Macaca fascicularis: one gene and its partners. The protein of the gene in region 1 interacts with the protein of each later gene in a pairwise test. Links are inferred from orthologs where the notes say so. Each region holds a gene or a part of one and is shown in the gene's direction. Other genes may lie near its edges. The genes, in order: SGTA, PLAAT4, FXYD7, ZG16B, EVA1B, C2H3orf52 and NAXD.

What was found.
Region 2: the proteins of SGTA (region 1) and PLAAT4 interact in binary tests that used the Homo sapiens proteins (3 or more experiments, as listed by UniProt). The two-hybrid records come from large-scale screens. The link is inferred for Macaca fascicularis from reciprocal best matches to the Homo sapiens genes SGTA and PLAAT4.
Region 3: the proteins of SGTA (region 1) and FXYD7 interact in binary tests that used the Homo sapiens proteins (3 or more experiments, as listed by UniProt). The two-hybrid records come from large-scale screens. The link is inferred for Macaca fascicularis from reciprocal best matches to the Homo sapiens genes SGTA and FXYD7.
Region 4: the proteins of SGTA (region 1) and ZG16B interact in binary tests that used the Homo sapiens proteins (3 or more experiments, as listed by UniProt). The two-hybrid records come from large-scale screens. The link is inferred for Macaca fascicularis from reciprocal best matches to the Homo sapiens genes SGTA and ZG16B.
Region 5: the proteins of SGTA (region 1) and EVA1B interact in binary tests that used the Homo sapiens proteins (3 or more experiments, as listed by UniProt). The two-hybrid records come from large-scale screens. The link is inferred for Macaca fascicularis from reciprocal best matches to the Homo sapiens genes SGTA and EVA1B.
Region 6: the proteins of SGTA (region 1) and C2H3orf52 interact in binary tests that used the Homo sapiens proteins (3 or more experiments, as listed by UniProt). The two-hybrid records come from large-scale screens. The link is inferred for Macaca fascicularis from reciprocal best matches to the Homo sapiens genes SGTA and C3orf52.
Region 7: the proteins of SGTA (region 1) and NAXD interact in binary tests that used the Homo sapiens proteins (3 or more experiments, as listed by UniProt). The two-hybrid records come from large-scale screens. The link is inferred for Macaca fascicularis from reciprocal best matches to the Homo sapiens genes SGTA and NAXD.

The regions. Positions count from the first base shown.
Region 1 is NC_088393.1:3,463,783-3,467,972, reverse strand, and holds the start of SGTA (small glutamine-rich tetratricopeptide repeat-containing protein alpha), read left to right. Parts: upstream 1-1,372; 5' UTR 1,373-1,413; intron 1,414-4,190. UniProt on the Homo sapiens protein: Co-chaperone that binds misfolded and hydrophobic patches-containing client proteins in the cytosol. Mediates their targeting to the endoplasmic reticulum but also regulates their sorting to the proteasome when targeting fails.
Region 2 is NC_088388.1:10,869,437-10,872,505, reverse strand, and holds the end of PLAAT4 (phospholipase A and acyltransferase 4), read left to right. Parts: intron 1-683; coding exon 684-952; intron 953-2,229; coding exon 2,230-2,322; 3' UTR 2,323-2,547; downstream 2,548-3,069. UniProt on the Homo sapiens protein: Exhibits both phospholipase A1/2 and acyltransferase activities. Shows phospholipase A1 (PLA1) and A2 (PLA2), catalyzing the calcium-independent release of fatty acids from the sn-1 or sn-2 position of glycerophospholipids.
Region 3 is NC_088393.1:42,383,889-42,388,335, forward strand, and holds the start of FXYD7 (FXYD domain-containing ion transport regulator 7), read left to right. Parts: upstream 1-1,538; 5' UTR 1,539-1,618; coding exon of another isoform or gene 1,619-1,649; intron 1,650-1,857; exon of another isoform or gene 1,858-2,030; intron 2,031-4,447. Other genes in the region: FXYD1 (phospholemman), read left to right, coding at 767-816, 1,002-1,024. UniProt on the Homo sapiens protein: Associates with and regulates the activity of the sodium/potassium-transporting ATPase (NKA) which catalyzes the hydrolysis of ATP coupled with the exchange of Na(+) and K(+) ions across the plasma membrane.
Region 4 is NC_088394.1:3,536,465-3,539,589, reverse strand, and holds the end of ZG16B (pancreatic adenocarcinoma up-regulated factor), read left to right. Parts: intron 1-488; exon of another isoform or gene 489-515; intron 516-601; 5' UTR 602-610; coding exon 611-680; intron 681-878; coding exon 879-981; intron 982-1,937; coding exon 1,938-2,274; 3' UTR 2,275-2,424; downstream 2,425-3,125.
Region 5 is NC_088375.1:198,586,404-198,590,690, forward strand, and holds the start of EVA1B (protein eva-1 homolog B), read left to right. Parts: upstream 1-1,381; 5' UTR 1,382-1,471; exon of another isoform or gene 1,472-1,522; intron 1,523-4,287.
Region 6 is NC_088376.1:170,999,481-171,003,999, reverse strand, and holds the start of C2H3orf52 (TPA-induced transmembrane protein), read left to right. Parts: upstream 1-1,635; 5' UTR 1,636-1,654; coding exon 1,655-1,792; intron 1,793-4,519. UniProt on the Homo sapiens protein: Has a role in LIPH-mediated synthesis of 2-acyl lysophosphatidic acid (LPA). LPA is a bioactive lipid mediator involved in different biological processes, and necessary to promote hair formation and growth.
Region 7 is NC_088391.1:101,213,038-101,216,762, forward strand, and holds part of NAXD (ATP-dependent (S)-NAD(P)H-hydrate dehydratase), read left to right. Parts: intron 1-2,297; coding exon 2,298-2,348; intron 2,349-2,424; coding exon 2,425-2,529; exon of another isoform or gene 2,530-2,901; intron 2,902-3,242; coding exon 3,243-3,363; intron 3,364-3,725. UniProt on the Homo sapiens protein: Catalyzes the dehydration of the S-form of NAD(P)HX at the expense of ATP, which is converted to ADP.

The DNA.
Region 1 (4,190 bases):
TATGGCACCCAGAAAAAACAATGTACTACAATTAAACTGGCAAAAACGAAGCAACCGACCTCCTTTCCTTTTATGTTTTTTGTTTTTGTTTCGTTTTGTTTTGGAGGGACTGGACGGAGTCTCACTCTGTCGCCCAGGCTGGAGTACCATGGCGCGATCTCGGCTCACTGCAACCTCTGCCTCTCGGGTTCAAGCGATTCTCCTGCCTCAACCTCCCGAGTAGCTGGGACTACAGATGCCCGCACCACGCCCGGCTAGTTTTTGTATTTTTAGTAGAGACAGGTTTTCAGCATGTTGGCCAGGCTGGTCTCGAACTTCTGACCTCAAGTGATCTGCCCCTTGGCCTCCCAAAGTGCTGGGATTACAGGTGTCAGCCACCGCGCCCGGTCTCACCTTCTTTATTTCTGCAAAAGAAATTAAAATAATCCACGCCATTAATCGTGCATGTATTTCGAGTAGGACAACAATGAATTGGGAGAACATTTCTGTCAATTATAACTCAGATGGTGATCAGTTTTCTGTCGTCCTTGGAAATTTCTCATCTCTCATCTCTATTTTTTTTTCCATATGTCTTGAGCACACCAAGCTTTTACATTGGCCTTCATTTTTGCTGTTCCCTGTGCCTGGGGTCCGTTTGGACTTTTTCCTATCCTTGAAATCCAAATCTAAAGGATGATCTTTCCTACCCATACCATACAACTTAGCTCCCGGTGGCAATCACACCACCTTCATTTTTTTTGTAGTGTTAGCTGTGAAATTTCTTGTTTATCTACTTATGTACTAGTTTATTAGTTTATAGTTCGTCTACCCCAATGCAAAATAATGACAGTAGACACTTTGCTGGTTTTTATGACTGGTTTGCAATAAATATGGAATATTAGGCACCTGCTGCCTACTAATGTTTCTATTCTCACAAGCGTCTCATAAATTGACTGCATGAAAGAATGCATTTGTGGGTGAGTAGATGGGTGGGTGAATAAATGAACAAAGATAGCGAGCGGACAACACTGACTCCCATTCATTGCGGGGCTATGACGCTCTGGAGTCCAGGTGGCCAAACGCGGCTGCACCACGTGGCCGGCCCAGCACCACGTGGTCAGCTCGGCGACCGGCTGGAGTCAGCCACTGTTCCACCGTGCACCGCTTCGTTCCCGCCCTAGAGGGCAAACCAGCCCCGACTTCCGGCCTCCATTAGGTCGTAGAGGTCAGTTGCCCTAACGACCAGCTGGTTCCCGCCTCTACGTTGCGTCACTTCCTTCCACGCCCACCTCGATCATTAACGCGCCTGTGCAGAAGGGAAGCAACCCGGGGAGCCCTTCTTCTGCGCAGGCGTCGCGCCCGGGGGCCGGGGCCGGGCGGCTCCGCGGTGCGCAAGCGCAACCGTCGGTGGGTCGGGGATCGGTCGCCTGAGAGGTGAGTGAGGGGCACTGTGCTGAGCCTGGCGGGTGTGGGGTCTGCGACTCGGGGCTCACGGGGCCCCAGAGCCCGTAAGAGGTTGGGGATCGTGAGGCCAGGGTCAGCGCGACCCGCGGGGTCCTGTGAGTAGGCGGAGCGGAGGGGAAACTGAGGCCGGGCGGCATCGGCAGGCCCTTCGAGCCCTGATCTCCCTTCCCCGGGCCCCAGGTCCTGGAAATGCTGGTCCGCGGACTGGTGGCGAGGACGGCTGGAGGGGAAGGCGCCCCGCATGTACTGAGCGCTCGCTGGGTGTTCGCTGCCGTTCCGCTCTTACTAACTGCCTGGAAAAGTCGTCCCTGTGACTCGGGGACCCCCGTTTGTGGGGACTCAAGTCGGGGCTCTGGTCCCAGCGTCGCCAGTCCCTACCTGGGTGACCTTGCCCAGCCTCTTGGCTTCTCGGAGCCTCAGTTTTCCCGTCTGTAAAACGGGCGTTGTCAGAAGTCCCTGCCTGGGAGAATGAGAGCCGCCGCAGGGTCCAGCGGAATCTGAGAACTCCAAAGAATTAGCAGCCGTTCGTCTTATTTCATGTTTAGAGTCTTCTTCTGCATATCGTGCTAGAGGTGGGGGAAATCTGGGATTCAGAACCAGCCCACCACCACCACCCACCCGCTGTGTAAACCTGGATGAGTTGCCTTCCCTCTCTGAGCAAACCTTCTTTTTCGTAAACGAGTTGTAAAAGCAGATGTCTGGGAGGGTCATTATGAGGATAAGCCCACATTCAATGATTTGATCAGGTGCCTGGAACTTGATAAGAGAGAGCTGGCTTGAGAACAGCTGTTTTTGTTATTAGGTGGCAGAAAATTGCAGTGCAATGTGCCTCTCAGAGGTTGGATCATTGTCCCGTTTACTTTTGCTTCTGTCTCTGATTATTCGTTCTCTCTGCCTTTTCCCTCCCTTGACCAGTGTGGTTCTCAACCAGGAACAATTCTGTGCCCCAGAGATTCTTGGTGACATTTGTGCTTTTCACGATTCAGGGGACCCCCTGGTTTGGAGTCGGTGGAGGCCAGGGTTGCTGCTCAGCACCCTGCAGTGCCCAGGACGGCCCCACCCCAGAAAACGATCCAACTTTGAATGTCAATAACGCTTTAAAAACCACACCCTACCATACGGGTGGATCACCTGAGGTCAGGAGTTCGAGACCAGCCTGACCAATGTGGTGAAACCCCGTCTCTCTTGAAAATACAAAACTTAGCTGGGCATGGTGGCGTGCGCCTGTAATCCCAGCTACTCAGGAGGCTGAGGCAGAAGAATCCCTTGAACCCAGGAGGCAGAGGTTACAGAGACCCAAGATCACGCCACTGCACTCCAGCCTGGGTGACAGAGCGAGACCCTGTCAAAAAAAACCAAAAAACAAAAAAAACCTACCCTAGATCAGTGATTCTTCCCCAGCATGGGCAGCTGGGAGTGTGTGGGCCCGGGAAATGGTATACAAAGTTTTGTGTGTGCACCCAATTTTGTGTGGCGAGAAGTGGGCACTTTGGAGTTTAGCTTCTCAAGTGAGGCTGCCTGGGTTCAGAACGCCTCATTTGCATCCTCCTAGCTGGGTGGTCTTGGGTGGTTCCCATCTTTCCAAGCCTCAGTTTTTCTTCTGTGGAATGGGGATTATAAAAGTAACCACCTCAGGTGTGTGAGGATTCAACCGGGCAAGGTATCAGCTAACCAGAAGGCCAAATCCACCTCTGGCCTGTTTTTGGGAATGAAGGTTTGTGGGAACACAGCCACACTCCTTGGTTTGCATGTTACCTGTGGTTGGTTTCGAGCTAAGAAGACACAGTTGAACAGTTGCCGTAGGGACCTTAGCGCCTGCCGAGCTGAAGACAGTCTGGCCCTTTTCAGAAAAACCTCTGCTGACCCCTAAAATAAGCTATCGCATGTACAGCACTTAGCTGGGTGCCTGGAAAGCTGTAAGCGCGCCAAGGATTTGAGCTGAGGTTTATAATTAAATCTTCCTAGAAGGGTGAATGATTCCAAATGGGGGTGAGCTCTGCCCCAGATTGGACGGATCCTTGAGAGCGGCAGTCTTACTCAATTCTATGGTTGTTTTTTTGCCAAGACCCAACAGTGGCCCTGGTAGGAAGTGCTCGGTACAGGCCGAAGGCATAAAAGGGGTGGTTTGAGATAAGGTCTTGCTCTGTCGCCCAGGCTGGAGTGTAGTGGCGCAATCTCCGCTCACTGCAGCCTCGACCTCCCGGGCTCAGGCCCTCCCACCTCAGCCTCCTGAGTAGCTGGGACTACAGGTGTGCACTACCACACCCGGCTAATTTTAGTATTTTGTTGTTTTAGAGATAGGGTTTCACCGTGTTACCCAGGCTGGTCTCAAACTCCTGGGTTCAAGCGATCCTCCACCTTGGCCTCCAGAGTTCTGTGATTACAGGCGTGCCTCACTGCACCTGGCCCGTTTTCTCTTTTACTGAGGTGGAAACAGAAACCCAGAGAGAAATGGCCTCCCCATTTCAAGGAACTTGACCACGTGTCTGTGAATTTTTCAACCATCGAAGGCTTTCCTGAGTCCATAGGGTTTAGACGCTGCCAGATGCTGGCGTTCAAAGGGAAGCTGGGTCTGTCAAGAGGTAGAAAGCCTTGTAAGAGATGCTGGGCCAGAGATGGAGTTTGCAGGAATACTAGATTCTCTCCTAGAGTTGGGCAGGAGAGGTGAGCACTTGAGTTTGAGTGGCACGTACAGGGTTTGGTGTAGGCCCCACAGACGACCCCCAGCTGGTGGGGGGGCCTCCTAT
Region 2 (3,069 bases), on another chromosome or scaffold:
GGAAGAGTCTCATGATACCTCTCTCAGCCCGATACTGGTTTTTAAATTGAGATGATAGTATTTTCCTTGAAAGTTAAAAAGGAAATTAAATTAGGAAGTATGTGTAACAGCACAGCATGGTAACTGAAACAGCGGGTACTAAACGAAGTGGATCTTTTTCCAAAACACGAGTGTACAAAGCTGAACAGGTAATAAATATGCTTTACCATCATTGCTTATAATGATGAAAATTTTTCCAATGCCTAAATGACTGATAACAGGGGATTGGCCACAGAAGTGATGCACATGCATAGCATGGAATATGGTAGCAGCCACTGGCAATCATGACATTCACTGACTTGAACAAACATTCACACCTTATTTGATTAAAAAAGAGAGAGCAAAATCTATTAGCTGGGCGTGGTGGCCGGCGCCTGTAGTCCCACTACTCGGGAGGCTGAGGCAGGAGAATGGCGTGAACCCGGGAGGCGGAGCTTGCAGTGAGCTGAGACTGCGCCACTGCACTCCAGCCTGGGCGACAGAGCGAGACTCCGTCCAAAAAAAAAAAAAAAAAAAAGCCAAATCTGTGAATCCTCCAGTCACATTTGTGAAAGGATAAACAGCAGTAGTTCCCTAGTGGAGATTTCAAGCCCTTCTCTCCCTACTTCACCTTCCCCTGCCAATGAGAATGCCTCTGATTGCAGATGGGTACCCCGCGGCTAGCTCCTCCAGTGCCTTCTCAGTCCCGGGCGGCATTGCAGTGGTGAAACAGGAGCTCCTGAAAGATGTGCTGGAAGGCTGTAACTATCGGGTCAACAACAGCTTGGACCGTAGGTTCAAACCACTGCCCGTGGGGGTGATCATCAGTTCTGCCAAGGAGTTGGTTGGTCAGAAGATGAAGTACAGTATTGTGAGCAGGAACTGTGAACACTTTGTCACCAAGCTGAGATATGGCAGGTCCCACTGTCAACAGGTAAGGATCTCTCTGGATAATCCATCTCCCCTGGGGAGGTCTGCTTGGGGCTGGACTCACTGGGCTATGCAACCAGGCGATCACCGTGAATGATGCAAACGCAGCCTCTTGGAGACCCACTGACTGAGAGTCAGGACCTCTGAGCTCCAATGCCAGATCTGCTTCTAATCCACAGAGGGTCTTTGGACAGGTCCCTTCCCCTCCAGGCCTCTCCATGTGCAGAGTGGGTGGATGGAGGACCTCTGAGGATCCTTCCCCTCTAAACCCTATCCTGAAAATGACTCCTGAAGTTCTAGGGGTCATCAGGAGAATCTGGGCCAACCCAGGACCGTGACAGGTCCCACAACCCCCCAAAGAGCACTTAGGCAAGGGACGCTCAGGGTCCACCGACCTGTGTAAGAGCTCAAGGACATTTGTGTGTAAGATCTGCAGCCTCTATCCCTTGCCTCTTCATAGTCTTTCACATTTGTTGCCCCAAAACACACAACTAATAAGTGGCAGAACCAGGATTGAAACCCGGGCTGTCCTTTCTAGAGTCTGTGCCTGTGATGCCTGCCGTGTAGCAGCTCAGGGCCCCTGGCCTGCGGGACTGAATGGATGCGCGTCCTTGATGAGATGGGGATGATGGCAGGAGGAGAGGCTTTGGGGAGGGAAATCGAGAGTTTGGCGTGGCATGTGATGTCTGAGGTGCCCATTAGAGGCCCAGGTGGAGATAAGGCATGGAGTTGGAGTTTAGGCTGAAGTAGAGCTGGAGATGGAAGTTTCCAGGCTGCAGTTGGGAATAGTACACAGTGACCCCAGGGCACGCATATGGCCATGGCCTCCCTAAGTCTCCCCTCAGCTTCTGCCACAGCCCTCCCTGTGCAACGGTGTAGCTCAAGGAGGACTCAGACTGCAAAACAGTCCCCAGTCTGGCCCCTGGAGCTCTGGCCCTAGGAAGTGAGGCACAAACCTTCTTCCTCGCCGCAAATCCGAACAAATGTCCTCACCTGGAAGCTCTCTCAAAAGGATCTCATGGGCACATTCTAAGGACAAGCCCAGATAAACCCAACACCAAGAAGTGGTCACAGCCCAGAAAATGGAGTCCCTGGGGATACAGCCAACGGCTTCTCTGGGAGAGGATTCTGAGCCAGTCAGCTGGGAGAGAAAAGAGGAGATGCCAGGCCGTAGGGGAGGCAGGAGAGAGGGGAGACGGGGAGGAGTTCCAGGCCCTTGGGAGGGAGAAAGTGCCAGCCTGGCTTGCTGCGAACGCTCAACAAAAGCTGCTTGCTTTGCAGGTGGAAAATGCCGCGGCTGAAGTCGGTGCGTTCGCGATGATTGGAGCGGCTGTTGCTGGATGCTCTTTTGCGATTATGAAATACCAAAAGTGACAGCCTGAAGCAGCCACAAAATCCTGTATTAGAAGCAGATGTGGGGGTCCCAGTGGAGATGTGGGGGTCCCAGGCCTCCCCCACACCTCCAGCAGCCTGACCCTCGTGCTCTGTCTCAGGCTCTCTCTAGATCCTTTCCTCTGTTTCCTTCTCTCGCTGGTGAAAGTATGATCTAATTGAAATAAGATTGAAGGATCAATAAACAGCCATCTGTCCCTTCAGAAAGGAATTCTACCATGTTTTTATAGACTTCTGAATCACAAAGGAGGAAAGTAACATTGAGTGAACACCCACTGGATAGTTCCAGCAATTTCCAGCTGGGTGACTTTGGAGAAGGCTGTTGATTCTCTGAAACTCATTTCTTCCATGTCAGGTGATGTCAGGAGGATCACCTAAGATAATGCATACACGGCACCCAGCCCCATGTCTGGTACGTAACAGATGTTCAGTGAATTATCTTTATCATTCTACACAGACATAACATTGACGTAATTGCATGTCATTAATTTTACTCTCAGGGAGGTAAAAAAAAAAAAACTTAATTACCTCCCAGTATAGTCTCATGTGGTGCTTAAATCCACTCACAACACCTACGCATCTACCAGCATCTTCCCCGTTCCCTTCCTCAACTGGCCCTCTTTTTAGAAAGTTTTTTGTTTTTTTTTTTTTTAGCTCAAAGGTCTGAGTTCTCACCCACCTGTGACTACTAGATGGAGTAATATTCTTTCCAAGCCCAAATTGCCATGG
Region 3 (4,447 bases), about 39 Mb from region 1:
GCACCTATGTACCACGGCCCAAGCCAGGCCCTGGGACCAAGCGAGGAAAAAACCTACCGCCCTTCCTGGCCGAGCTCCCAGCCTAGTGGAGGCGGTGGCCGTGGGTTCCACAGATAGAAAAATCACAAAGCGTGATAACACAAAGTGCAGGAAAGAAAGAACGGCGGTGAAATGAGATCATCTCACACGCGGCCCAGTTTAGCTTAGAGTCCTGTTCCTAGCTCTTTGATTCCTCTTCAAATAAAATGTTAAAGCATGTGTGAATATGTTAGAACAATTATAGATATTATCATAAGCAGTAGCTAATATTTATTGGGTGTGTACCACGTGTCAGATACGGTTTCACTTCCTCTGGGAGGGAGGTGCTGTTATTAAGCCCATTTTACAGATAAAGAAACTGAGACACAGGGAGGTAAAGTCACTTTGTTCAAGATCACTCAAGTGGAAGATGGGGGGTTCTGGGTTTCCAACCCAGGCCATCTCATGACAGTCTGCCAAGTCCCCTTGACTATCCCTCCCTTACCAACTTCACATCCCTGCCCCCAAATCCGCGGAGGTACTCACTGTTAACCGGCTTGGAAGCCCCCTGCAAAGCACTTAAGCTGCTCCTGGGTGCTTCTTATTTCTGGCGGACCCCGAGCCTGTTCTTCGTCCATATCTGGGCCTCGTTACACCAGTCTGGGAAAGGAGGCTTGTACTGGGGGTTCCTAGAAGGGCAGCCTCTCCCCCTTTCCATCCCGAAGTCCCTCTGCCTCTGTCTTCCCAGGACTGGGGAACCCGATGAAGAGGAGGGAACTTTCCGCAGCTCCATCCGCCGTGAGTCTGGGGAGACTGCGGGTATTTTGGGGAGAGGGCTGGTTCCAAGGACCCCTTTTCCTGGCCCTCCCCGGCTGCGTAGAGGGAGGGGCTATATCTGAAAGCAGAGGGCGGGGAGTTGCCCCGCCTGCCCAGGAGCTGGGGATGCCCCTCCTGATGACCCCCGATCTCCGTGTTCCCCCCAGGTCTGTCCACCCGCAGGCGGTAGAAACACCTGGCGCGATGGAATCCGGCCAGGTGCTGCAGCTCTGACACGGCGGTGGGAGGGAAGGAGGGAGGAAGGAAAGGCGGGAGAGGGAAGGGGCCAAGTGCCAGGGTTGGAGGGCGGCGAGGGGTGGTGCTGGACTTCCCCCCTCGCCTTTCACTCACCCTTTTCACCCCACAGGACTCCCCTGGCACCTGACGTCTCCCACGCTCCACCTGCGCGCCCACCGCCCCCTCCGCCGCCCCTTCCCCAGCCCTGCCCCGGCAGACTCCCCCTGCCGCCCAGACTTCCAATAAAACGTGCGTTCCTCTCGACAGCACTTTGTCGGTGTCGGTCCCTCAGCGCGAAAGCCCAGCGCCCCTGGGCCCCAGCAGGGGGCGCCCCACCCTAGAGGAAGGGGCGGGGACGACGGTGGTGGGCGGGGGCGGGGGCGGGGGTGGCCTGCACGGGGGCGGGCTCCCCGGGCCCCCATTGGCTGCAGGCCCCCCCACGCCAGGGCTCCCCCCAGCTCCCCCCCATATCGGTCCGTCCTGCTTCCAGCTGCTGCAGCGCGCCTTCGCCGCCAAGGCATCCAGCAGCCCCCTGCTCCGGCCCAGCATGGCGACCCCGACCCAGACCCCCACAAAGGGTGAGCGTCGTCTGGGGAGGGGGTTGCAGGGGGGCTCCGGGATCTGAGAGCCTAGGAGAGAGGGTGTCGGGAGATTCCAGCAATGGTAAGGCAGGGGAGTGGGGGGAGGGAGGTCTGCTCCTTCTGTGGGCGGAGGCCCCTGTAATGCAGCCCCCCGATCGCCCCTCCGGGTCTCTGGGACACCCCCTCCCCGGCGGGTGTCCTGTGCCAGACCTGCGGTTGGAGAGTGGCAGTCCCGGGAGAAGGGATGCTCGGACAGGTCGCTATGGCAACCGGGTGGCTGGTCCCGCACCGTGGTGGTAGCAGACGGGAAGAGATGAGCTTGCAGGGTGGGAGCGGGTGGGTCTGCGGCCAGAGACGTTCTGGAAGATTTCAGGGTCCCTGGGGTGGGCAAGGGAAGGGGAGGAGGTTCATGTCCCTCTTCTTTCCAGTGCTGTCTCCTAGGGTGTGTGTTTCCTGAAACCCTTGACAGCCAGGTTCAGAGGAAAGGAGTGAGAGCTGAAGGAAGAGACAGCGAGAAGGGATATAGCAAGAGATGGACAGGGAGAACCTGGAAGAGACAGAGACCGAGAGGCAGGAGATCCAGAGTCACAGATACAAAGACCCAGGAAGACAAATAGATGGACTCAGAGAGATTCCCAGTGGAGGCGAGTGGCAAAGAACGGTAGACAGAGATGCAGAGAGAGAGAGAGAAAATGAGAGCCTGGGAGATAGCGGGAATGAGACTGCTATGGAGAGAGAAGCAGAGAGAGGGAGGGAGAGAGACGGACCCATGGGGAAAGAGGGGAATAGAAAGAGAAGGAAGCAGTGTGGGGTGGGGCCCAAACCACTGCAGTGAACCCCCATGGGTGGGAATGGGGTGATGGGACCCTCCTTCCCAGCCCACAGCAGGGGTGTTTTCCAGTCCCAGAGGTGTACCTGGGTATGCACCTAACTGCCCCTACTGCCCCCATCCAGCCGCACACTGATTTCCATTCCACACCCATTAACCCAGTTATGCACCCAGTTGAACACCCACTTCCACCGTTGCCCCCTAATACCCCCCATTGCTAAGCCTGCTTCTGCAGAGGAGCAAGGCACAGACTGCTTCAAGAGGGAGCGGGTGCCCAGCTAGGGTCTCCAGCACTGAGGGCAGGGGATGGACCAGGGGTGTTGAGAAGCCCCTGGCCGTGAAGGGAACCCCAATTCCGCTTGGATGACTCCCTCCCTTCCGTGCTTCCCAGAAGGCGGGGGCTGCTGCACTGAGCCATATCTGCAGAATCCGAAGCAGGGCGGGGGGTGGGGGGGGCTGCAGAGGCTGGAAGCCACCCTGGGGAGAGGGGGCAGGGCTGAGGCAGCAGGCCTGGCGGGAGCCCAGGGCTTCTTTTTGCAGAGGTGGTGGTTAACAGGATCGATGGCAGCAGACGGGCAGAGGTGGGAGGACAGACTCCTCAACCCCACCTCCTCTGCCTCCCCCTTTCCCAGTCACAGCATGAGAGGGGACCGCGGGTCTCGGGAAATCCCGGGGGAGGAAAAGCATGTTGTGCATTGCAAACTGCTTAAGGAAACTAATTAATGAATTGTTGGGGAGCGAGGGGGGAAGAAGGGAGATTGTCTCCCTCCGCCCTGCCAGAGAACGGGCGGGAGAATTAGGGGTGAACAGAAGAGGGATGCATGAGCACAGCTGGGTCCGGGTCCCTGTCCCTGAAATGGACCCTCAGCTTGGCCAGAAGCCAGTCCTGCAGGGGCAACAGCAGGAGGTGCAAAAGGAGGGGAGAGGGTCAAGATTGAAACCCGCATCTTACACAGGACCTCACAAGGGACCCCACCCAGCCTGGGATGCCGGGACCTATCACCTCTCTTCACCTCACGAGATGCCCCAGTTACCATAGCAACCACCTCCTTCCTGATATCTCCTTGGCAGCTGGCCAGGAGTAGTGCACATTCCTTTGCCTGACTCCTGGCCCCACCCTTAGCCCAGCCACGCCTGGGGGCCCAGGTTGCTGGGGCAGCAGGGACCAGAGGAGGATCTCCTGCATGGAACACCAGATTCTGGGACAGGTGCTCACCCAGTGGGCTCCTGATAACTTTGGGGAAGGGCAGGTGTGTGGAAAAGACTAGTGAGACAATCCACCTTTTGCAGCCTCCTGCAGCCTAGGACCGCCTCATAATCATTCCTTCATTCATTCATCCGAGAAAACTTGGAGAGCCTTTCATAAATGTCAGGATGAACAGCAGCGATGAGTCAAACAAATTTACTCACTCTCTGGTGGGGAAACTTACACAGAGCACAAGGGACCCTGAGGCAGTGTTTCACCATCTTGGTGCTTTTGAGTATTACCGTCACAATTTTCACTTTATTCAAATACTCCTCACACTGCTATTTATTTAATTTTTTTCCTTCAAACGATTAGCTTTTTTACTTTTATTTTTTGAGACAGGGTCTCGCTCTGTCACCCAGGCTGGAGTGCAATGGTGCGATCACAGCTCACTGCAGCCTCAAAGTCCTGGGCTCAATCTATCCTCCCACATCAACCTCCCGAGTAGCTGGGACTACAAGGCACTCCCCGCTACACCCAGCTAATTTTTGTATTTTTTGTAGAGACAGGTTTTGCCATGTTTCCCAGGCTGGTCTCAAACTCCTGGGCTCAAGCAATTCACCTGCCTTGGCCTCCCAAAGTGCTTAGGATTACAGGCGTGGGCCACCATGCCCAACCCAGGATTAGCTTTTTAAAAACGATGAGCTTTATTTTATAGCACCATCACAACTGGAAAATTCACCATTTTCTTCTTCTTTTTTTTTTTTTTTTTTTGAGATG
Region 4 (3,125 bases), on another chromosome or scaffold:
CAAAGGGCTGGGTGGTCCATTCAAGCTCTCTTGGGGCCTGCATCGAGCTCAGCCTGGGTCCTAGGAAGCCTGCCAGGCACCAGGTGCTGCTTGAGTCTGAAGGAGGCCCTGACTCCAGGTCGCCCACGGTGGCAGGGGGCCCCACGGAGCTTTTGTGGACCCTTGACCTGTTACCCTCGGGTGGAAGCCAATAAGCCAGCCTCTCCCCAACTCTGCCATCCAGGTCGGCACCAGTGTTGACTGAGAGAGCCCAGAGGTGATCGTGAAGTGCCTGTCACTGTCCCCAGCTCTGTTTATGTAGGCTGCAGAGCCAAGACAGCAAATGCCACACGTCCGGGAGCCTCCCCAAGGCCGGCCCTGGGCCTTCCCCCAGGAAGAGCCCCACGGCCAGCTCCTTCCTGTCCCCCTGGTGGCCCCTTGCTCCTTCCTTCTGGATGGGGGCCCAGAGGGCCCAGGAGAGTATAAAGGCCATGTGAAGGGTGCCCAACACAATCAGACACCCAGTCACAGGCGAGGTAAGGTGCTTGGCTCCATGGGTGGGGCCCAGCGAGGCCACACTGGCCCTTGCTTTGGAGTCAGGAGGCCTCTCTTCTTCCCACAGAGCCCTGGGATGCACCGGCCAGAGGCCATGCTGCTGCTGCTCACGCTTGCCCTCCTGGGGGGCCCTACCTGGGCAGGGAGTAAGTCGGTGGAGTCTGCCCTCAACCTCCCCTGCCTCCCTCCAGGAGAGCCAGGGCCTCACCCGGCCCTTGTCCCAGACTAACTCTGGTCACAGAACCATCCTGTCTGCCTGGAGGGGCGGGGTCCCCTGTTCTGGCAGAGGTTGCCCCCATATCACTGAGTGGGGATTTTCTTCCCTTTTGTTCTCTTTTCTGCAGAGATGTACGGCCCTGGAGGAGGCAAGTATTTCACCACCACTGAAGATTACGACCATGAAATTACAGGGCTGCGGGTGTCTGTGGGTCTTCTCCTGGTGAAAAGGTGAGTGAGGCCATGTCCCCACCCATCCCACAGTTTTAGGAACTCGGGGCAGCCGGTAGGCACCTGTAGCCAGTTTTCCCACGCATGCCTGGCTCCCACCGATGCTTCATGGCTTGAGCAGAGGTCAGACCGTCCTCCCTACCTTCTCCCTTCAACCCAAGCTCAACTCAACCAAAAATGACCTCTCCGTCCCCATGCCTGATAGGAAAGTCAGGGAAAAGTCTGTCCGATTACTGTCAAAGAAGACAGGAGGTAAGGGTCAGAGTGGACCACTGACTGAACATGAGTCAGCAGAAGTGTTAGAGGCAGAAATCCAGGACCATTTCCTTCATATCGAGGTGTCTCTGCTGGAGGTCTGGGATGGATTTTTGCCCTGCACTTAGGAGTTCTGGGGTCCTGGGAGAGGGGAGAGAAGCCCAACAGCAGAGGAGACTGTGTGAGCATGGCGAGCTGGAGGGGTGCGTCCTAGGAGAGCAGCAGGGTGAGGGAGGGATGCAGATAAGCCCCGTCGGGGAAGTGCCGGTGAGTGTGGGAAGTCACCTGCCCCTCGGTCTGTGAGCTGCTCTGCTCAGAGTGACTAAGGCTGGGGAGGTCCAGGCTCAGCCAGAGGCAGCTCATATGTGGGCCACAGTGACGGCAACTGGTGCCTTCTGCAGTCACGTGGACCAGGCACTGCGCGGAGCTCTCCTCGCCTGGACCTCAGTGACTCCTCCCAAAAATCACATCCACTTTGCAGATGGGGAAACTAAGTCCGAAGAGGCTGAGTAATGAGCTCAAGATCACAGGGCCTGAAAGTGGTAGAACCAGGGTTGGTGACCAGTGAGTTTGTGTCAGGGACCCGAATTCTGATGGCGCTGGACTCTCTGCATCCTGGGAAGGAGGGTGGGGGCGCTGAGGACCCGGGATGTGCTGGGCCATCCCAGATCTGGGCGTCCAAAGCTTTGCCTCTCCCCCAGTGTCCAGGTGAAACTTGGAGACACCTGGGATGTGAAACAGGGCGCCTCAGGTGGGAATACCCAGGAAGTCACCCTGCAGCCAGGCGAATACATCACAAAAGTCTTTGTCGCCTTCCAAACTTTCCTCCGGGGTATGGTCCTGTACACCAGCAAGGACCGCACTTTCTATTTTGGGAAGCTCGATGGCCAGATCTTCTCTGTCTACCCCAGCCAAGAGGGGCAGGTGCTGGTGGGCATCTATGGCCAATATGGACTCCTCGGCATCAAGAGCATTGGCTTTGAATGGAATTACCCACTAGAGGAGCCGACCACTGAACCGCCAGTTACTGTCACATGACCATCAAAGGCACCCTCGGGTCTCTAGGGTGGGGTACGGGGCCATCTGAGCTGAGGCCATCCGGGTGGTGGTGGCTGATGGTACTGGAGTAACTGAGTCGGGACGCTGAACCTGAATCCACCAATAAATAAAGCTTCTGCAAAATCAGTGCATCCAGGATTGGTCCTTGCATCTGGGGTACAACCAAACCCTCCCCTGCTCCTTGGAGACAAAGGCCGCAGTGCTGGAGCCCAGTGAACTGAGATGAGGGATAGGGCAAAGGTGACTCTGCCGAGGACAGAAAGAGAGCAGCACCACCCCCTCAGGGGTGCTGTGGGTCTCTGTGCCAGTCCCACAATCTTTGAAGAGTCAGGCTTCAAGGCCACCACTCCCCACTGTCCCTCACCCCAGGCCCATCCAGCGGGCCTCTTCTGGCCACTCAGTCCCAGGCTTCTCTGAGTGTTCAAGGGGCCTCAGGGAAGCCACTCACTCACCCATTCACTCAGTAAATGTTTGCCAAGGCCTTGTCCTCACCAGGCTCTCCTGGCACTGGGGGGTATAAAGAAGAGGCCAGGCCGGGCGCGGTGGCTCAAGCCTGTAATCCCAGCACTTTGGGAGGCCGAGACGGGCGGATCATGAGGTCAGGAGATCGAGACCATCCTGGCTGACACGGTGAAACCCCGTCTCTACTAAAAAATACAAAAAACTAGCCGGGCGAGGTGGCGGGCGCCTGTAGTCCCAGATACTCGGGAGGCTGAGGCAGGAGAATGGCGTGAACCTGGGATGTGGAGCTTGCAGTGAGCCGAGATCTGGCCACTGCACTCCAGCCTGGGCAGCAGAGCGAGACTCCGTCTCAAAAAAAAAAAAAAAAA
Region 5 (4,287 bases), on another chromosome or scaffold:
CAGGCCCCTCACTCCTCCCTTCACCTCACAGTTCCATACCTGCCCCAGCAGCCAGCTGTCCAAATATTTTGCCCATTACATTTGGCCCATGCCTTACCCATGCTGGATGCTCTGCTGGGAGGTGCCCCACTTCCAATCCACCAGTGCCTCTCTCAGCTCTGGACCTTGTCTCTGTTCAGCCTCACTCTTGTCCCGCCACCCGTTAAGCCTCTGTTCAGGGCACAGATACCTCCTGGGCACCTACACGTGTCACTCTTACATTCAGCAAAGCACAAGACAGGAAGCTCCCTGCAGGCAGGGGCTTTGTTTTGCTCACCCTTACCTCCTCAGCACCTGGGTCTGGGCCTGGTACACCTTGGCACTCCTGAACAGTTTGGCGTATTGATCTAAACTTCTTGGCTGTGAGTTGGTCAATTTAAAGCAAAAAAAGTGCACTTTCTGGATTGCTGTTCCTTCACAGGTTTTTACTGTGAGCCCTGTGGCAGCAAAGGAAGGGGAAAGTACCAGAAGGATGGGTGGGACTAGTGCAGTCACACCGACCACTCGTGTGTCCCTGAAAGGTCAGACCAAATGACAGCTGAGAAGCTGGCATCCCCTTTAGCCACCCTGTCTCCAGTGTCCCTGGGAAGAGTCAAACCGGACCTGTCAAACTAGCGGAAGTGGGAAAGGAAGTGAGGAACAGTCTTGGTGGCTGGATTGTTCAGGCTCTGAAGCCAAGTTGGCCTTGACTTTCTCTGTCCCTCCGTCCCTCTTTCCCTCCCTCCCTCTCGTCCTTCTCTCTCACACCCCATGTCCAAGCCACTGCTACTCCTGTCGGCTGGCCCTACCTTCAGAACACAGGCAGAATCTAATCACTTGTCACAGCTCCACTGCAGCCACCCTAAGCCTCCATCTCTGGCCTCCTGGTCTCCCACTCTTCCCCTGCCACAGTCCAGGCAGCACGTGGTAGCCAGAGTGAGCCTTCAAAAACCCTGATTGTGTCCCTCTTCTGTTTACAACCACTCCACGCAGTGGTTCCACTCCACGCAGGAGAAAATCCAAAGGTCTGTGTGGCTTATAAAGCTCTACACCGTGAGTCTGCACACCTGGGTACCTCCCCACCTTCCCAGCCCTTCACCCCTCACTCTATTCCTGCTGCTCGGGCCTCCTGCTCCTGAGCAAGCCAAGCGTGCTTCCGCCGCACGGCCTGTGTACAGTTAGCCGAGAGAAAGGACGAGTAGGCCCAAAGTCAGGCGAGCCATTTTTATCTGTCCTGCCAGGCTGCTCCTTGACAGGCAGGGGAGGCAGCCCCACTTACAGACTGCAGCAGGGCTTCACAGGGCGAGGAACTGGGTCGAGGGGTGTGAACCGAGTTGGGCTGCAGGTGTCTTGATTGCCTCCTGGAGATGGTTTTGCCAGCTTTAGTTAGCAGGTGTTCTGACCGCATCTTGGAACCGTTTGCCGGTTCAGCTGAAGTGTTCCGGACAAACAGGTACTCGAAGGGTCAGTTGTGGCGGGGAGTTTGCCGATAGCCTTCGGGGAGCTGTGCGGAGGTCACAAAGGACTGTATTGTAAGACCCATGGGAAAGGAGAGGAACAGTCTGGTCGGGGTGACCCTAACATTCCAGCCTTTTAATAGATGATAGAAAAGGGGGTGTTGTTCTCATCAGGCTGCTTCTGGCTGAGAGGGAGTGGTGGTTAGGGGGAGAGGCTGGAAGGTAGGGGTTAGTTTTGGTTCTGGCTTTGAAATTGCTGGTATTCTTGGAGTAGCATCATGTCTTGTATGGTTCCGTGGATAAAGGCTCAGATGCGGTTCTGTAAAAACTTGGGTAAAGAGGCCGGGCGCGGCCGGGCGCGGTGGCTCACACCTGTAATCCCAGCACTTTGGGAGGCCGAGGCGGGTGTATCACGAGGTCAGGAGATCAAGACCATCCTGGCTAACACGGTGAAGCCCCGTCTCTACTAAATATACAAAAAATTAGCCGGGCGCAGTGGCGGGCGTCTGTAGTCCCAGCTACCCAGGAGGCTGAGGCAGGAGAATGGCGTGAACCTGGGAGGCAGAGCTTGCAGCGAGCAGAGATCGCGCCACTGCACTCCAGCCTGGGCGCCAGAGTGAGACTCTGTCTCACAAAAATAAAAATAAAATAAAAATAAAAACACTGGATAAAGAGATGTAAGAGGCTGGACCCAAAGATTAGGAAAAGGAGAATGAATATGACGGGTACAGGGAGTGGGAGTAGCCAGGAGGCCCAGGAGCTGAACGGCCATAGGGGCCAGGAGGGGCCACGTGGAAGAGCTGTTTTCCCGGATTTTTTGAGCCCAATCCTTTAATTTTTTTTTTTCTTTTTTTGAGACGGAGTCTCGCTCTGTCACCCAGGCTGGAGTGCAGTGGTGCTATCTCGGCTCACTGCAAGCTCCGCCTCCCGGGTTCACGCCATTCTCCTGCCTCAGCCTCCCGAGTAGCTGGGACTACAGGCGCCCGCCACCTCGCCCAGCTAATGTTTTGTATTTTTAGTAGAGACTGGGTTAGATAGGATGGTCTTGATCTCCTGACCTCCTGATCTGCCCACCTTGGCCTCCCAAAGTGCTGGGATTACAGGCGTGAGCTACCATGCCTGGCCAGTCCTTTCTTTTTTTTTTTTTTTTTTTTTTTTTTTTTGAGACGGAGTCTCACGCTGTTGCCCAGGCTGGAGTGCAGTGGCGCGATCTCGGCTCACTGCAAGCTCCGCCTCCCGGGTTCCCGCCGTTCTCCTGCCTCAGCCTCCTGAGTAGCTGGGACTACAGGCGCCCGCCACTGCGCCCGGCTAATTTTTTGTATTTTTAGTAGAGACGGGGTTTCACTGTGGTCTCGATCTCCTGACCTTGTGATCCGCCCGCCTCGGCCTCCCAAAGTGCTGGGATTACAGGCTTGAGCCACCGCGCCTGGCCAGTCCTTTCATTTTTTAACTGCATCTTGAACCAGGCCTGCCTGATTGAAATAGAAGCATCATTCTTCATCTAGGCAGAGGCAGAGACCTCCTTTTTCTGCGGTAAGTAAATCGAGGCCCCTGAGGTTTTGAAGGCCTACTTGCGGCTAGGGAGTCTAGTTGGGCCTGCAGGGTTGATACAGTGGATGCTGGGTCATCAGTGTTATCGGAGGGGTCCTTGGATAGGGATTTGTAGTAATAGGTAGAGGCTGCAATTCCTGCAACTCGAGTTCTTGCAGCTGCTGTAATGCCTAACCCTATTAGCAGGGGTATGAGCTGTATGGCTCGGTGTCTGCGGGATAGTGTTTGATTGTGGAAGGGTAGGGGTCTATCCGCAGGGGCTATGTCTATTTTTGGACTAAAGAAGACTAGTGTGCAGGTTCCTATCCAGTTAGTGGGTAAGCAGAGATAGGTGGAAGTGCCGCAGAGAAAGAATATGCCCTGGCTAGGAAGGCAAAATTGGAGTTCTGTGGCAAAGAGGGGCTTTAGGATTTTGTTTTCTGACCACCAGCCAGAGAGAGAGGAAGACAGGGCCGCCGGGGTGAGTGGCTGGAAGGGGCGGGTTGAGGTTAGTTGGCTAGCCCTACTGTTTCGTTTTCCCAGTGTAGGAGGAAACATTGTGTGTCCACTAAAAGTTGTTCCCCAGTGGGGGCTCTGGCTACCTGAGTTTGTAGACAATTGGAGGTTGGGTGCGGGCTAGGGCACGCAGTCCATCCTGCAATTGTCATACCGGGTTTGTGTCGATCGATGCAGAAACCTGAGTTTATTGTGTTGAGATTAGTGGTTTGGATTTTTGGGGGGCCAGAAAATTTGAATACTTGAGTGGGATTGTATATTGTTAGCACCTGGATACCAGCAGGTGGGGTGAGCTGTAGGATGTAGTTGCATGAGCCTGTGGGGAGACTGCCTAAAGGGGTTCCTGAGGGAAGGTCACGCAGTATACAAAGGGGTGCCTGTTGGTCTAACTTGGTATCAGATGTAAATGCCCCTAAGATAACTTTGTTCCTGGAGGTGGAGGGGGTGAGGTCAGTTTTGTAACTTTTAAGTGCATTTACCCCTCCGGAGCGTTGATAGCGAGGATGGAGTGTCGTGCTGGTGAGGGTCCAATCTTGAAGTGGGACCGAGAAGGCATTTTTTGATATGGTTTCTGAGGGGCGGACACAAAACCAGCAGTTTTGTGCGAGGTCAGGATTGGTTTGGTTAAGTATTGTGTGTGCCTGTTGGATGGTTCGTTGTAGATGGAGTGGTAGTGAGGAGGAGAAGGGAAGGAAGACTAAGCAGGCAAAGGATAAGAGTGAAAGTGAAGAAATCGATTTCATCTGGGCTAAACTCACACAGGGCC
Region 6 (4,519 bases), on another chromosome or scaffold:
CAATCAAATGAGGGAACTATGAGAAAAGTTTTCTGGACCCTGGATAAGGATGGGGGTGGGGAGATTCAGAAGTTTGAGAGGTCTCAGTGCTTCCAGTCAGGTCTGCATGTTTTTGTGACTACAGATCCTATCAAGATCTCCCTGCAAATTCCCACACCCTTCAGTGGTTCTAGTTCTTAATCAGTCTCCAGTCCCATTTAGGCCTAGGAGTGTTAACAGTGTTAACAGCTTCGTGCTATTGCTAGTCCCTGGGTACCTCACCATTCCTTGTTGATTCCCTTAACCCTTGCTCCTTGGTTAAAATTCCTGTTCAAAACTCCCAGCTGAGAATGCAGCCTGATTCTTGCAGGATCTGCCTGTTGGAGCAGAAGTCAGTGCAGGTCAGCAGATGAGTCACTGCAGACTCCCCTTAGCAGGCGGATGGATCCAAAGTTCAGGGGATCTGGTAGCAGGCACCAGACAACTGCAGACAGGATAGCTAGGCTGTGTCTCAACATCAGGCACTGAATATGCCAGACTTTTGGACTCAAGTCAACATATTTGGAGTGGAGCTGATTTATATGCTTCTTGTTAATGATCTGGTCTTAATGTGTGTGTGTGTGTGTGTGTGTGTGTGTGTGTGTGTGTGTGTGTGTGTGTTGCGTGGAGGGTGAAAATAAGGAACAAGACTATTCGGAACAGAAGCTTGAGAGGTGAAGCCCTTGGCCCAATCCACGCTGTGCTTAACAAACATAATTCCATGCTAACTAAACCGGAAGTTCTGAACTATAGATAGGGCGTCAAGGAGATTGTGTGTGCGCAGGAATTTTGTGTGTGTGTGTGTGTAAGGCCCCTCCCCTCAAAGATAAATAGTAATGGTCAACATTTATGAGTGCTTGCTGTGTCAATCACTGTTCTGAGTGCCTTGCTTACAGCAACCCTTGTAATCCTGGTAAAAACTATATTAGGAGGGTACAAATATTACACCACCTTTCCAGGCGAGGACATTGGCACAGAGAGATGAAGCCCGAGGTCTCACAGTGAGGAACGCCCTGGGTGGAGAATAACCCAGGTACACTGGTTTTAGAGTCCACTGTCCCCAGCACCACACAATACTGTCTCTGTGCCTGACTCTGGACTTGACGAGGAAGTGTGTTGGTGTATATTATTCACCTTCATATACTCAGAACCTAGCACCATGCTGGCACGAGGCATGGTTATTTCTTGATTGAATGAATGCACTTTTGCTAGACCGCGAGGACTGTGGCAAACCCCAACAACCAACAGTTCGTGGGCTTAGATCGCAAACTTTCCTCCGTTGGACGGTGCGGCCCGGCCCATCTTTTCCTTACCACAGCCCGACACCCAGGCAGCCCCTAAACGCAGATGGTCCGCATCTGCAGGCGCGGGGAAAGGCACAGCAGGCAGCGCCCTGAACAAACCAGAAAAACAGCCCTCGGCTCTAGAGCCCACTGCGAGCACGGCTTTAGGTGCTCTACCCGCTCCGGGGAGTGGCCGCCACTCACCGCTCGCCCCTCCTGTCGGCTCCGGTCGCTCCCGCCGCCCGAAGTCCGCTGCGCCCCGCCCAGTGGGTGGAGTGTGAGGCGGTGAGGTCACTCGACCCTCCTTGCGCTGTGGCCTCCCTCGGAGCGGCTCAGACCTTCTCCGCCCGCCCATGGACCTGGCCCAACCCTCACCACCCGTAGACGAGCTGGAGCTCTCGGTGCTCGTGCGGCAGCCAAACGAGCACACGCCTCTCAATGGTGCGGTCAAGGTCTTCCCTTCTTTGGACGAGGAGGCCCCCCCGGCCGAGGTAAGGTCCCCTTGGCGCTGGCCCTAACCTGCCAGCGGCGGGACAGTAGTAGGACCCGGGCCTGGCACCCGCGAGTTTCGGGTTTCCAGCCAGGCGGGGCGTCGCCGGCGCCGAGCGAGGGTGGGGCGCGCTCGAGTGCTCTGAATGGAGCCGAGTAACCGCGACACCTTTCGGCCGGAGCAGTCCCCTCCCCAGCCCCTGGGGTCGTCCAACCCCTCCGACCCCCGAGGCGCTTTAGGAATCCTAGGGGTGAGGTGTGGCCGCTCCTGTCTTCAGATACTCCGGAGATAGAGGTAGTTTTTTAAAGTTATGTAACTTTTAATTCAGTTTTTCTTTTTTCCAGTAGGGAGAATGAGAATGACAGATGGAGTATCCTCCTTCTCTAAGAATCTCTTAAGCTTTCCCCTTACCTTCACTGCCTTGCCGCGTCTCTCCCTTGCCTCCACCCACCTCGCCGCAGCTCCCAGCCCTCTTCCATGCCTACCATCCGCCAAGCACTTTCTGCCTTCTCCCAGCCTGGCCATTCGATTCTGCAGGAAGAGAGATAGGGGAGAGCACAGAGGAGAGAAAGCGGTCCGAAGGAGAAGGACTAGGGCTGGCGTGGGGATGGTGCGGGCGGGTCGGGGGGGCAGGTGGAGGTGAACTTGCCCTGCTCAATTGAAAGAAAATAAGTTCAAAGTTCTTGTCTCGAAGGATGAGACTTCGCCCACCTTGCTTTTACCTCCTCTCAATCCCTGGCAATTTTTAGGCCAAGCTCTTTTCTGCTTCAACCCTAGCAATGATGGAAACATTATTCGCTCTCATCAAAGACTTGTAAAACATCAGAGCTTTGACTTCCCAGCCATCCACCTTCTGATTAACTCTTAAGATTGGCTTGAGGTTTTCTGGGTACACAGAACTCCCCATATTGAGCCCCGACCTCATCTTTCTAGGCCCCACTCCTCCACCTCCAACTTTTTGGCTGCCCAGCTGTTGATTTTAGGGATAAGCAGGAAATTCAAAAGTTGAAAGCATTGCTTTTGCTCTACATTGATTCCTGGAACTATTGCAAAGTTTGCTTTTATAGGTACTCTGGAGAGTAATTTGGAAACTTCTTTCTGAATAAAATATGAATGCCACAGAAGAATGAAGGTTGAACAAAGATAGTCTGGTCACCAGTGCAAGTGGCCACAACTGTGAACTTGCTGTATGGGTCCTCCAGGACGGTGTCTGGGAATGGGAGTTGGAAATACTTGCCTCAGATTAGACAGACCCGGACACCCTAAAAACTCCCTAGCTTGGGACTGAATCCAGAGATCTGGTGACAGTTTCACCACTAAACAATGTGTCCCAGGGGCAAGGCTGTCCCGTAGTGGTAATGTGTGCCTACTCGGACTTCTGTGAGGCCCGGGAATGCCTTGTTGAAAACAGGTGATGGGTAGAACACGCCAAATCCATGCAGGGTTATCAGTATTCTGTAATTGTTTAGCACCTACCCTGTAGCAATGGTTGTTTCATGTTCCCATGACGTCCTTGTTAGTAAGGTATGTACAGATAGCCTAGACTTCTTTGTAAGTTAACTTTGTAGGTCACCCAATAGGAGAGCTGTCCTCAGTAACAGGATGGAGTGAAGGTGAAGGGCTACAGGAGCACTTGGAGTGTGTTCAAGGAATGCTTGGACTTTGTTAAAGGGAAATCTTTAACAAAGAAAAAAAAAGCATCACCTAATGTGATAATCATTCTTTTTTTTTTCTATAAAATAAGGTGAAGTGTATTTCAGTTAGAAAAGTCAATAAATATAGGCTTATTAAAAAGATTCAGACAAGATTCAGACACTTAAGAATTTTGTGTGTTGGTCTCTTTGAACTGTATATTAAGATTTCTAATTTTGCAATGTAGCTGAAGTTCATGTATTTTCATTCACCCTGTTTAGTGACTGTCTTGTGACAAATACTTTTGATGCATAAATGCATTTAATTATCACAGCTAACTTAAGAGGAAGGCATCAGTATTCTGGTTTGTCAGATTAAAGATGCTGAGTGAAGAAATTGAGGGAGGCTCAGAGGAGTTACCAAAATGCTCACGTTCCCTCAGTGGTGCCTCTGAAGCTTGAATGTATGTTTTTTAGATCTCAAAACTATGCTGTTTCTGTTGATTTATTCTATCTATCTATCTATCTATCTATCTATCTATCTATCAATCATCTATCATCTATCAGCATTTAATTTAAATATATGTCATATATAATTTATACTCATTTATTTATAGTTGCCTACATTATTAATTATTACTAATTTCTGTAAGTTAGGTAATTTATAATTAGGTAATTTAAGTGAGCTAGGAGTTGAGTGTCACATCTGGAATGATGGAGTTGCAGGTGGATGGGTGAGGAATCGGGAACAGTTCTGGAATGATTGGGAAGAAGACATCTCTCTTCTTCCTTGGAAGAGCTGTGATGGGAGAGTGAACAAAAGCAGTAGAAAGAACTTCTTTCCCTTTCTTGATGTGTGCTTGGCACTTGAGACAAAGGAATAGAAGCCGCTGAACTCTACTTTGCCTGCTGTCACTGTAAACATGGCAGTATGCTTGGATCAAAAGTGAAAAAGAAATTATGGGTAATAGAGTGAGGCTGGTTTTCTTTTATGGTTCATTACAGGGGCTCTGGCTCAGTTTTCAAATAGAAATCCCAGAGGCATTTTAAGAGATGGCAACATCATTTGAAGAATAATAAACCAGTAAATTGATAGT
Region 7 (3,725 bases), on another chromosome or scaffold:
ACACTGTGCTGTTTTCACACGCATTAACGGTGTGTCCTGGTCCTCACACTGTGCTCTTTTCACACTCATTAACAGTGTGTCCTGGTCCTCACACTGTGCTCTTTTCACACGCATTAACAGTGTGTCCTGGTCCTCACACTGTGCACTTTTCACACGCATTAACGGTGTGTCCTGGTCCTCACACTGTGCACTTTTCACACGCATTAACGGTGTGTCCTGGTCCTCACACTGTGCACTTTTCACACTCATTAACGGTGTGTCCTGGTCCTCACACTGTGCACTTTTCACACGCATTAACGGTGTGTCCTGGTCCTCACACTGTGCACTTTTCACACGCATTAACGGTGTGTCCTGGTCCTCACACTGTGCACTTTTCACACGCATTAACGGTGTGTCCTGGTCCTCACACTGTGCTCTTTTCACACGCATTAACGGTGTGTCCTGGTCCTCACACTGTGCTCTTTTCACACGCATTAACGGTGTGTCCTGGTCCTCACACTGTGCTCTTTTCACACACATTAACAGTGTGTCCTGGGGACTTTCACGGCAGGGTATGTGATATTCCTCATTATTTTTAACAGCTACATCAGAATTTACTACGGATCTACTGCAGTGTGTTTAACTAGTTCATTCACACTGTTTTCCGCTTTTTTTGTGTTAACATCAGTGGTGTCCTGAACCTATGTATTTTATCCACTCTTTTGGGTGTTAGAAGATAAATTTTTAGAAGTTCCGTTGCTGAATCGAAGAGTATGGACGTTTCAGTTTTGGAGAGATGCCTCCAGATTTCTCCCTAGCATACCGTGGTTTGCTTTCCCACGGGTGGGGACACCCTGCTGCGCTGGGTGCTCTGATGCACGTATCTTTCTAGGAGACCCATGTAACACTGCATTTTCCAGGGTTTGAATGTTCACTTTTGACTACTCTTTGCGAATACATTAAAAGAAAACACAGAAACAGATGAAAATGTCAGATTGTTGCCAAATCCTGCAACACAAAATCAGAAGCTGATCTAAAATCTGAACTAGCAGAAGCCTGCCGGCTTTACCGGTGAAGCCAAACTCAGGGCAAGCAGAGAATTTTTATTGTTAATAAAGGAAAGCAGCTTCAGGAAGTCTCAGGTACCCACCTCCTGGGAACGGGCTTCAGGACACACTGCTAATGCTCCGACCCGTGTCAGAGCCAGGTATACGCTTCCCCACAGCTGGAATGGGCGTCACAAACAAGCTGGAACGAGCGCTTCGTTAGGCGAGCAGCTAACGCTTTGTCAGCTTTCAGCTTTCATTTCACATACCTGACGTTAGTTTTCAATACCTTAAATTATTCTGACTTGGCATGTATTTTGTTTAATGCTCTCTATCTTAATGTTTTCTACTATCAGGTGTCTATCAAGTCAAGATCACTTTACATGCTACTGCGGCATATAATCTTATCACAATATATTGGTTCATAATAATAAAAGCCACCAAATATTGATTACATATACGTGTATGTATCTATACATCTAGTTTTTTTTTTTTTTTTTTTAATAGAAAACCTTTGACACCTTCACTGTAATCCTATCAGGGAAAAATGATTCTGTTTATTATTGTCACTTACTACTTTAAAATATGTAAGTAAAGTGATATGAAAAATACATCATGACTAATGATTTGGGGAATTCTCAGGAATTCAGATTTCTCGCCTCCGAATGCTGCGGATTAGTATCTGTTGGAGAACTGGAAGCCCTCGCTGGGGCGGGGGGTGTGTCTTCATGAGTTAGCCTAAGAGCCCAGCTCTTGTTTATAGCATTTCCACTGGGCTTCGCCTTTCAGAGTTCCCAGTGTCCTGCCTTATTTAGGGGCTCTGCTAGTTCATTGGGTCTTTCTGCTTCTCTATTTTATTCATTTACTTGATTATTTTCCATTTATTGTTTGATGACCTGATGTTGCATTTAATTAAGAGTCTGCTCAATGTTCTTTCACTGCTGTTGGGAAAAGCGTCTTAGTCTGTTTCGTGCTGCTATAGCAGTGCCACCGACTGGGTAACTGACAATGAACAGGCGCTTACTGGCTCGTAGTTCTGGAGGTGGATGTCCATCTGGCGAGGGCAGAAGGGCAGGAGAGAGACACTTTATGCCCCTTTTAAAGGTCATTAAACCCACCCATGAGGGCACTGCCACATCACCTTTTAAAGGCTCCACCTCCCAGGACCCTTCCATTGGCAATTAAGTTTCACCGTGAGTTTTCAGGAGACACCATCCACACCATAGCAGAGGCAGCAGGTGTGGTACTCAGCCTGGTTTTCTCTTCTGGCAGGGCATTTTGGAAGCATCAAAGGCCAGGGACATCCCTGTCGTCATTGACGCGGTGAGTTGACCTCTCTCCTCCTGGCTCGGACTCCCGGAAGGCCTGTGCAGTGAGCACGGCTCCTTGTTCTGTGCAGGACGGCCTGTGGCTGGTCGCTCAGCAGCCAGCCCTCATCCAAGGCTACCAGAAGGCGGTCCTCACCCCCAACCACATGGAGTTCAGCAGACTGTATGATGCTGTGGTGAGTCAGTGGACTCCCTGGAGGGTGGATGCAAGCCCCATTCGTCCTGAAGAGGGTGAAGGACGCGCTCCATGCTTCTGCCCAGCCTGTCCCTGTGGGCACATCTCTGCAGGGATGCAGACCTGCAAGTAATCGCTGTGCCTCTCCCGGTGGATGGCCCGTCTTCGCATTAGTGCTCTTGGATTGGATGAATGATGGTGTAGTGGGCTTGGGACAGGCAGGGACTCGGGTCAGCCAGCCCCTCCTGCAGCACACTGGACAGATCACTTTCTGTGTCTTGAGTGCCTCGTCTATAATGTGATGATGGCATCTACTTCACGGGGTTGTGAGGATGAGATGAGGAAACCTGTGTGAAGCTGTGAGTCCCACACGGTGAGTGTCCCGTCAGTGTTAGCGTCCAGTACAACTGGAATTCGTATTACTCCTACAAAGCTCTCAGAACCCAGCCTTGGGCGGTCCTCCTTCAGCCTGCTCTGACCAGGTAGAGGACGGGCACTGCAGCAGGCACCGTGTCGGCGTCTGCCCGGAGGACTCGCTGCAGGCGACATTCTGGGCTTCCTTCCACCTACGTGGCCTTTAGCAGGTGCCTGGGTGATCCCTTTAGGCACGAGAGCGTGCGTCTCGTGGCGGACGGGACAGGGCCATCCGTCACGTCGTGTGTCGTGTGTCTGAGGAAGACTTTGCTTTTTCTGTGTCTTCCTGTGTTGTCATAGCTCAGAGGCCCTGTGGACAGCGATGACCGCCATGGATCTGTGCTGAGACTCAGCCAGGCCCTGGGCAATGTGACGGTGGTCCAGAAAGGAGAGCGCGACATCCTCTCCAATGGCCAGCAGGGTAAGTGGCGGCTGCCCTCTGTGCATGGGCTGGTGCCAGGTCAGTCAGCGTGGCCGTGCTGAGTGCGAGCCCTGGAAGACCTCTCCCGTGCACACGTGTTCACGCGCATTCGCACAAAGGGATTCCTGCTGTCACCCACACCTTCTCCGGAGTCCATGTTTTGACTTCTCACTGTTTTGCCGGGGGAGGTGACCGTGGTGAAAGCCATGGGCCTTACCCGCCGGCTGAATTCCCATGCCTCAGTTATGAGAGGCAGTGTGGCGGGAGGGTGCGTGCAACAGCAGGGCATTCCCCAGCTGCCACCTTCGTCTCACCTGTGGCATCCATGATCCCTGCAGTTATTCTGTATTGTATTGCATTTC